2 linked regions of the Oryctolagus cuniculus genome follow. The protein of the gene in region 1 binds, or shares a complex with, the protein of each later gene. Links are inferred from orthologs where the notes say so. Each region holds a gene or a part of one and is shown on either strand. Other genes may lie near its edges.

The links.
Region 2: the proteins of WDR59 (region 1) and SEC13 are in contact, whole or in part, in a cryo-EM structure (PDB 7UHY), measured with the Homo sapiens proteins. The link is inferred for Oryctolagus cuniculus from reciprocal best matches to the Homo sapiens genes WDR59 and SEC13. Residues at the interface, in NP_085058.3 of Homo sapiens: Ala525, Tyr526, Gly527, Asp531, Ala532, Asn533, Ile534, Pro535, Phe536, Pro537, Arg538, Thr539, Ser540, Gly541, Ala542, Arg543, Phe544, Cys545, Gly546, Ala547, Tyr549, Val551, Phe553, Thr554, Arg555, Met557, Ala644, Gly645, Lys646, Val647; in NP_899195.1 of Homo sapiens: Val4, Ile5, Asn6, Thr7, Val8, Asp9, Thr10, His12, Asp14, Met15, Ile16, His17, Asp18, Ala19, Gln20, Met21, Asp22, Tyr23, Tyr24, Gly25, Leu28, Val42, Pro59, Trp61, Gln62, His67, Pro68, Tyr79, Ser105, Asn107.

What each region holds. Positions count from the first base shown.
Region 1 is NC_091449.1:57,463,690-57,468,156, reverse strand, and holds the start of WDR59 (GATOR2 complex protein WDR59), read left to right. Parts: upstream 1-1,601; 5' UTR 1,602-1,710; coding exon 1,711-1,764; intron 1,765-4,467. UniProt on the Homo sapiens protein: As a component of the GATOR2 complex, functions as an activator of the amino acid-sensing branch of the mTORC1 signaling pathway. The GATOR2 complex indirectly activates mTORC1 through the inhibition of the GATOR1 subcomplex.
Region 2 is NC_091441.1:116,549,335-116,553,130, reverse strand, and holds part of SEC13 (protein SEC13 homolog), read right to left. Parts: intron 3,409-3,796; coding exon 3,364-3,408; intron 2,226-3,363; coding exon 2,110-2,225; intron 1,847-2,109; exon of another isoform or gene 940-1,846; intron 857-939; exon of another isoform or gene 486-856; coding exon of another isoform or gene 454-485; coding exon 302-453; intron 15-301; coding exon 1-14. UniProt on the Homo sapiens protein: Functions as a component of the nuclear pore complex (NPC) and the COPII coat. At the endoplasmic reticulum, SEC13 is involved in the biogenesis of COPII-coated vesicles.

The sequences.
Region 1 (4,467 bases):
GAGAGCTGGCCTGGAAGAGGGACAACCGGGACAGGATCCGGCGCCCCGACCGGGACTAGAACCGGGTGTGCCGGCGCCGCAAGGCGGAGGATTAGCCTAGTGAGCCACGGCGCCGGCCAAAGTCCACAAAATATTTCTATGTTGCCTGTATATGTAGGCAATTACTGTTAGAAATCAAAACAGGATTTGAAAAAATTCATTATCTCATTGAAAAATTAATTCATATGAATAAATTCTAAAATGAAAAATACTAAATATATCTTCCAAAACCAAAAAATGTTAGCGAGAGGAGTTGTAAATCTTGTCAACATTTGGCTTACTAGAAAACAGTCGGTTTCTCCCATCCACTTCTACGTTCAATTCGCTGCAATATTTATCACGTAGCCTCTGGAAAACTCCACTGCTACACTGGGGAAAGAAAGTGAAAATCATTTTTTAAAATTAATTAATTAATTTATTTTATTTTATTTTTATTTTTTAATTTTTGACAGGCAGAGTGGACAGTGAGAGAGAGAGAGACAGAGAAAAAGGTCTTCCTTTTTGCCGTTGGTTCACCCTCCAATGGCCGCCGCGGCCACTGCACCGCTCTGATCCGAAGCCAGGAGCCAGGTGCTTTTCCTGGTCTCCCATGGGGTGCAGGGCCCAAGCACCTGGGCCATCCTCCACTGCACTCCCTGGCCACAGCAGAGAGCTGGCCTGGAAGAAGGGCAACCGGGACAGAATCCGGCGCCCGGACCGGGACTAGAACCCGGTGTTCTGGCGCTGCAAGGTGGAGGATTAGCCTATTGAGCCGCGGCGCCGGCCGAAAATCATTTTTTAAAAAGATTTATTTTATGTATTTGAAAGACAGAGTTAAAGAAAGAGAGAGAGAGAAATCTTCCATCTGCTGGTTCACTCCCCAAATGGCTGTAAGGGCCAGAGCTGAGCCAGGAGCCAGGGGCCAGGAGCTTCCGCCAGGTCTCCCACGCAGGTGCAGGGGCCCAAGCACTTGGGCCATCTGCTGCAGCTTTCCCAGGTCATAGCAGAGCATAGCAGAGGGGCAGCCGGGACTGGAACTGGCGCCCACATGGGATGCCGGCGCTGCAGGCTGGGGCTTTAACACGCTGCGCCACAGCCCCGGCCCCGAAAATGATTTTTTAATGTGATTATGAAAACTGCTTCGTCTTCAGAGACCCTCAAGGAATCCCCGGACATTTGGGAGGCGCTACTGTATTGTAAGAAACAGTAAGTCCAGCATTCAGACTAAAGGGGAAGAAGAGGTTCCTTCGATTCGCATGAATGTTGGGCTTTGCCTGGTAGGCTGGGTCTGGGCGAAATGCCGGGGACACCAACAAGTGCCTCAAGCAAACGCTAACCTGCGCGCTCTTCCGGAGTCACTGACGCGCGGCGCGGCTCCACCTCAAACTACAACTCCCCGCAGAGCTCGCGGCGGGGGGCGTGTCCGCACCCGCGGAGCGCGAGGGTGGCTCAAGCTGATGACGGAAGTGAGAGGAGGCGTGCCTGTTTTGGGTGGGTGCGGTGCGCCAATTGGAGGAGATGGAGAGATGGGGCGGGGCTGTCGCTTGGGTCAGCCAATAATTGGCGGTCAGGCGAAAATGGGAGGGGGACGGGGCGTGGCAGGGCTGACTCACAGGCTGCGTGGGGCTCACGGAGCCTGGGGACGCGAGTCTGAGGGGTGCGAGGGCCCTGTCCTGAGGTCGTGCGAGGGGGATGGCGGCACGATGGAGCAGCGAGAACGTCGTGGTGGAGTTCCGCGACTCCCAGGTGAGCTGGGGTCCGAACGGAGCAGTCTGGGCATGCGCCCTCAGTGGTTCCCCTCCCCCACGCGGCCTCTCTGGTCCTAGGGGTTGCCGGGAGACCCCCGGCTCTGGCTGAGGAGTTGGACTACCCGGTTACCTGGAGCTGTCAGGCTCGGGCGGGCGGGAGGCGCTTGATGACAGTTGGGGTGGGCATGGACGGGGTGTCGAGGTTCCTTGTAGGGGGTACAGGGAATAGGGTTCGCCTTGGGGGGCTGAGGGAGGTGCCTCATGCCCAAGGTGGTGAGCGAGGGGGCGTCGAGCAAGTCGTGGAACTTCTGCGTGGACCTGACCCTTGGTTTTGGGGGTGGGGTGAGGTGGATTCCATGAAATGCTGCTCGCAAAGCGGCTGCTTCGACGCCTAAGCGGTTAAGTGGTTGCTGATGCTGTGATAGTGGACCCTGTACGTATTGCCTGGGTTCGAATCCTGGCGCAGGTAATAGGCTGTCATCGCTCTCTGCGTGCCAGTTTCCTCACCAGTGGAAGGAGTAATCCTGTCTCACGGGATTGGCGTGAGGATTTGGGGCGGTCATCCGTGTGTGTGTGTGTCTGTCTGTCTGTCTCTCACACACACACAGTGGTGGGCACATGTTACGCTTCGAAAAACGTGAGCCCTCACTGAGGAATTTTACCACTTTTCTGTGTCGTGACTTCTGTATGTTGGGCCTTGTGCTGAGCTGCTTATGTGTGGTTTCTTTTTGTGGTTCCTGGAAGAACCATGCAAGGAAGGTAGGTGTAAAGGGGGAAGCTGATGCCCATTTCATCCCCAGTGACTTGGCCAAGGCCTCCCGCGATGGGGCCATTGGTGGAAGGCACTGCCCCCAGAGCGTGTGTCAGCTCAGAACAGTACTTTGCCTAGTAGTGGGTATCTGCGCGGGGTCGTGCAGTTGTTTGACAGTAGACAGCATGTTCCCCCTTCCCCACTCCTGTGCCAGTGTCTTGGAGAGCCTGTTTATTCAGCTGTCTCCGTGTGCCAGACTTCTACTCACTCATTTATTCAACAAGGAGTTACTGAGATACTAACATTGTGCCGGGCCTTGTGTCCATACTCCAGTGATTTTTCTGGAGGGAAATCTGGATTGCTTTGCCATAAAGATGAATGAGTGGAGGAGCCTCCCACTAGTTTGCTCTGTGTGCCCTTGGATAAGTAGCACCTATCGAGGCTTTGAGCAGCAGCGTTTGGATGCAGGGATCCTAAAGCCGCTGGCACTGTCAGCATGGTGTCTCAGAGGCCCAGTCACCCAGGGGAGGTGCTAGACTCCTAGGGAAAAACCGTATCCCTGTCACCTTTCTCATTAATTGCTTCCACTGGGAGCTAGGACAGAACAGGATTGTGTGTTTGTCTCTGAGCCTGCTAATTTGGAAGCTACTAAACTGCAAACCCTTTAATTCTCACAGAAACCCAGGTAGTCTCACTCCTTTTTTTTTTTTTTTTTTTTTTTTTTGAAATAGAAACGTAATTGAAGAGACCTGCAGAGCAAGTGCTGACACTTATATTAGGATGCTATGAAGTAGCAGCAAATAATTAAACCTGAACAGCAGTTGTCATAGTAGGAGAACAAAGTGAATTGGGTAATTGAGCTGCCTGTGGGAGTTTCTATTTTTCTTTCTGCTTTCCTGATTAGTGGAAGGATGTGTCTTGGTGTGAATTAGCATGGTTTTGTGGTTCACTCTAGTGATCAATGGGAGGGGCAGGAACCAGTCTATTAACTTTTTAAAATTAATGTGGAAAGAAAAAGTGAAACTTCTTCACAGTACCTGTCTGAAAAGGCCAAAACAATAAACTTTTCAAAGCATCCCACATCTTGTCAAAATGATTTTAAAAAATTAAAGCTTTTAGATTTTTCAGAGTAAACCTGCTGTCTGTAGGTGAAACTGTTTTGGTTTATACAAGTGTTATTTGCTTTATAAAACAATGCCATGTGGTATTACTGTCACCAGTTAGTGGTGAAGGACATGTGGTACTTGACAGCAACTCTGCAGTGCTCACTTGCACGTGTACCCTTGAGGATCAGTGAGATGGCAGCTTGTGCAGTTGTGAGTCTGACTCGGCAGCGTGTACAGAAGTGCTGCGGCCGGGACTGGTGGTGAAGATGGGAACTGCAGACTCCGAAGTTGCTTGCTTGCCTGCCTGCTTTGGAAGGCAGAATTAGAGAGAGAGAGAGAGAGGTCTTCCATCTGCTGTTTCACTCCGCAGATGGCTACAATGGCTGGGGCTGGACCAGGCCAAAGCCAGGAGCCAGGATCTTCTTCTGGGTCTCCCACATGGGGGCAGCAACCCAAGTCCTTGGCCACCCTCCACTGTTTTCCCAGATACATCAGCAGGGAGCTGGATAGGAAGTAGAGCAAAATGAACTCAAACTGGCACCGACATGGGATGCCAGTGCTGCAGGCGGTGGCTTAACCCATTGCACCACCACAGTGGCCCCGGAAATAGCATTCTTTTTTTTTTTTTTTTTTTTTTAACAGGTAGAGTGGACAGTGAGAGAGAGAGACAGAGACAGAGAGAAAGTTCTTCCTCTTCCTTTTCCATTGGTTCACTCTCCATTGACCGCTGTGGCCAGCCCACCATGCTGATCCAAAGCCAGGAGCCAGGTGCTTCCTCCTGGTCTCCATGCGGGTGCAGGGCCCAAGCACCTGGGCTGTCCTCCACTGGACTCTCGGGCCATAG
Region 2 (3,796 bases), on another chromosome or scaffold:
GCACACTGAGTTCACTGTGGGGAGGGGGAGGGGCACGGTGAGCGCACAGCTGAGCGGCCGACCAGACCAGACTCCCGTTTCCCACATGCTCGGTCTCAGTCATTTACGAAACCAAGTGCAGGAAACACCTACCAGTCACCGCTAACTCCAGCCTCCCCTACCACAGCGCAGGGACGTGAGCGGCCCCCAGCCGCGGCCAGGGTCGCCCCCACCACCCCCTCGGTCACCTGAGGAGTCGTGGCCCGTCCTTCCTGGGACCTGAGCGGCCCTCAACCGGGGCCAGGGTCCCCCCCTCGGTCACCTGAGGAGTCGTGGCCCGAGTGCTCGTGGGTCTTCTCCCAGGTGCCGCCCTCCTCCTTCCAGATGATGACTTTCCGGTCGTAGGAGCAAGATGCCAGGATGTTGCCATACATGGGGTGGGCCCAGGCCACCTGCCACACAGGACCCTCGTGCCTGCAAGGGGAGGGGACAGAGGCTGCTGCCATGTGGTCAACGACCCAGGTGCCCCGGCCGGGCGTCTCCTTGGGCGGAGATGAGTGACTTCCTGGGCAGGGAGAGCCGACGGCTGCCTGAGCACTTCCACGCGAGAGCCGTGGAGCGTCACTGCCCTCGGGATGCCCTGTGGACGGCAGGACCCCGAGGCCACGCGGCCCTGCGCGGAGTGAGGACTCTGGAAGTGTCCGTGGCCGGCCAGGCAGGGATCTCACCTGCACCAGATCTGCAGCCAGGGCAGCTCCGCTGACTGCGGCACGGGCGTCAATCCCCCAGCAGGTGCGCCTGGGGCTCAGGGGCACCGCAAGGCGGAGCCACCATTCGCCCGCCTTCCCCGTCACCTTGCCGAGGCGGCACTGTCCACCTGGGTGTTCGCGACGGGCACCGCAAGGCGGAGCCACCATTCGCCCGCCTTCCCCGTCACCTTGCCGAGGCGGCACTGTCTACCTGGGTGTTCGCGACGGCCTTCACCTGCTGTCACGCCCCCTGCTGGCTCTGACTCAGGCCAGGGTCACAGGCGCTCTGTGGCTTTACCTCTACCTGGAACGCAGGCGTCCGGAAGGCTCCCTCACAGCTAGGCTGGGGGTTCAGTGTCCGTGCTCGCTCAGGGACAGAGCCGAGAGGACGAGCAGAAGGAAAACCACTGACCACGAGCCAGCAGCGCTCCCCTCCGGGGACGACGGCTCACTCCCGTCCCACGCAGCGCTGACCGAGGCAGTCAAGGACGGGGGTGTGAAGTTTGTCACCGTCTAGCGCCTAACATTCTCAGAGCATAAGAAACTCATGTGGGAGCCGGCACTGTGGCGCAGCGGGTTAAGCTGCTGCCTGCAACGCTGGCGTCCCACGTGGGCACTGGTTCAAGGCCAGGCTGCTCCGCTTCTGACCCAGCTCCCTGGTATGGTACCTGGGAGGGCAGTGGAGGACGGCCCAAGTGCTTGGGCCCCTGCACTCTCACAGGGAGACCAGGAGAAGCTCCTGGCTGCTGGCTTCTGCCTGGCCCATCTCCAGCCCTTGCGGGCCAGCTGGGGAGTGAACCAGCGGATGGAAGGTCTCTCTCTCTGTCTCTCTGCCTGTGCAATTTTGACTTTCAAATAAATAACCTTAAAAAAAAAACAAACTCCCGAAACCTGCAGTGCTGTGCAAGGCAGCACCCTGGGGGGGGGGGGGGGGGGCAACCACAAACATGGGCCAGGGCTTCCGAGAGGAGTGACGTGGTGCGTGTGAACGGCCCTGGACCCCTGCGCAGGCCGACAGGCAGAGCCATGGCCATCCCAACGTTGCCGCCTGCACGGCCCCTGCAGTGCCGCTCCCGAGTGACACGTCGGTCGCCCTGGCTACGCCTGCACACAGCAGTACAGCTTCCACCTGTCAAGGCGGGGCAGTGGCCCCTGAAGGCGGGGCCCACCTGAGGGGGCACACCAGGGCTGAGAGGTCACACCTCGCCAGCCCCGGGTTTTCCTGAGAAGAGCCCCGCAGAGCCGCTGCCTGGCCCACCTGTTGTGTGCTGGGGGCAGCCGGGCGTCCTCACTGCTGAGCACACTTCGGGGTGCCTGGAACCCGGGCTTTCACTTCCTCCCCTGCCTGTGCCCTGGCGGCGCCCGCCCCCTGGGCACTCACCCTCTGAGGTCAGCGACGAGGATCTGCCCTCCGTTGCGCACATCGAAGATCTTGACGGACCTGTCGGAGGAGCAGGTGGCCAGGCGGGTGCCGTAGTAGTCCATCTGTGCGTCGTGCTGCAAAGGGAGACGGGGAATTCTGGGGGCCTGCGGGGGCGGGGCAGTGCGCACACAGGGGCGGGGCTAGCGTGGATCACGGTCTACCCACTTGGGACCGGCACCTCAGGCGGGAAGCCGGCAAGGCGGCCTCCTCACTGCTCTGCGAGGCCGCAGCCAGCTGGGCTCACAGACCCTTTGGGCTCCTTCCTCCATCTGGGCCCTGGGTCCCGCACGGGTCTTTGTCCCTGGGTTCCCTCACGCTTGTCCTTTTCCCAAGGAGCGGGCCAGTTACTCAGACACTGGCACCACCCTCGGATGCCCACAAACCACCCAGATCCAGGCCTGGCCCTGCCCACGGTTCTGAGTTCATCTGCGGCACCGCGAGTGGCACCTGCTGCAGAGGCCACTGGGAAGGCTCAAGGAGCCGCTGGATGACGAGCGCTTAGCACGGGCCTGGCGCACAGCGAGCAAGTTCCTCACTGCCGCTCTGCTCACCTGCTCCTCAGACCACACCGTGCAAGCGGGGCACAGCGGCGGTCTCCCCCCGAAGAAATGGAGGCCTGCTAGCTAAGCCGCTGCCTAGGGAGCCTCAGACCCCCGCCCCTGGTACCATGTGGCCGACAGCTGAACCACTCCTGAGGGAGTTCAGGCGACCTGAGCAACCCAAAGCGGCGGCAGGTGACAGGCCGTGAGGGCAGCAACGCAGGCAGGAGACGCTGTCCGTGGCCCAGGGACCCAGGACCAGGTCTCGCTCCCAGGCTGCCGCACGGCGGGGCCAGAGTATTCCTCCTGCTGTGGACTTTAGCCCCGGGCCTTCTCCTGCGCCCTGCCTCGGGCCACGCCCTGCATGAGGACTCCTGTCTGCTCTGCTGTCCCACAGCAGTCCTCTCGGGCTCCGCCTTTGCCAGTGGGGCCAGGCTGCAGTGGCAGGAGGAAGACAGAGGGGAGACCAGCGGCAGCCGGAGGACCGAGGGCCTGAAGCTACCATCGGTCCCCAGAAAAGGGGAGCCCGCACGACCAGGGCCCTGCCAGCTCACAGGGCACTGCCGGGAGGCGGACCAGCCACCGCCGCTGAACCACCCATCGGGGAGGGCGACGAAGAACTCAAGCGCTTCCTCTCACAGAAACGGGCCCGCGGCCGCCGGCGAGTACTCACAATCATGTCCTCGTGCGAGGTGTCCACGGTGTTGATGACGGACACCTACGACCAAAGACAGGCAGTCCATTACCCAGCCGTCACCGCGCCCCTCGCCGCGTCTGCGCCCCTCGCCCAGGACAATCGCTCCAACGACCTTCTTTGAGCCAACACGAGCGGCCTTGCCCTTGAGAAACGTGCACAAAAGTCACCCTGACACGGCAGTCAGCTCTTCCCGCGGGGGCTTCCGGGTGCGCAGGAGCCGGCGGGGCTCAGCCGCTGAGGAGGGACTGGCCGGGTGGCACGGGGAGAGAGCAGGCTGGGGAGGGGTCTCAGAGCACGGATGGGGCCAGACGGGGCTCGGGGCTGGGGGCCGCCCAGCCACCGCTGCCCTCCTGGGTGACAGAGCACGGGGCGCCCCGCAGTTGCTGATGAACAAAGCGCTGACCCTGCA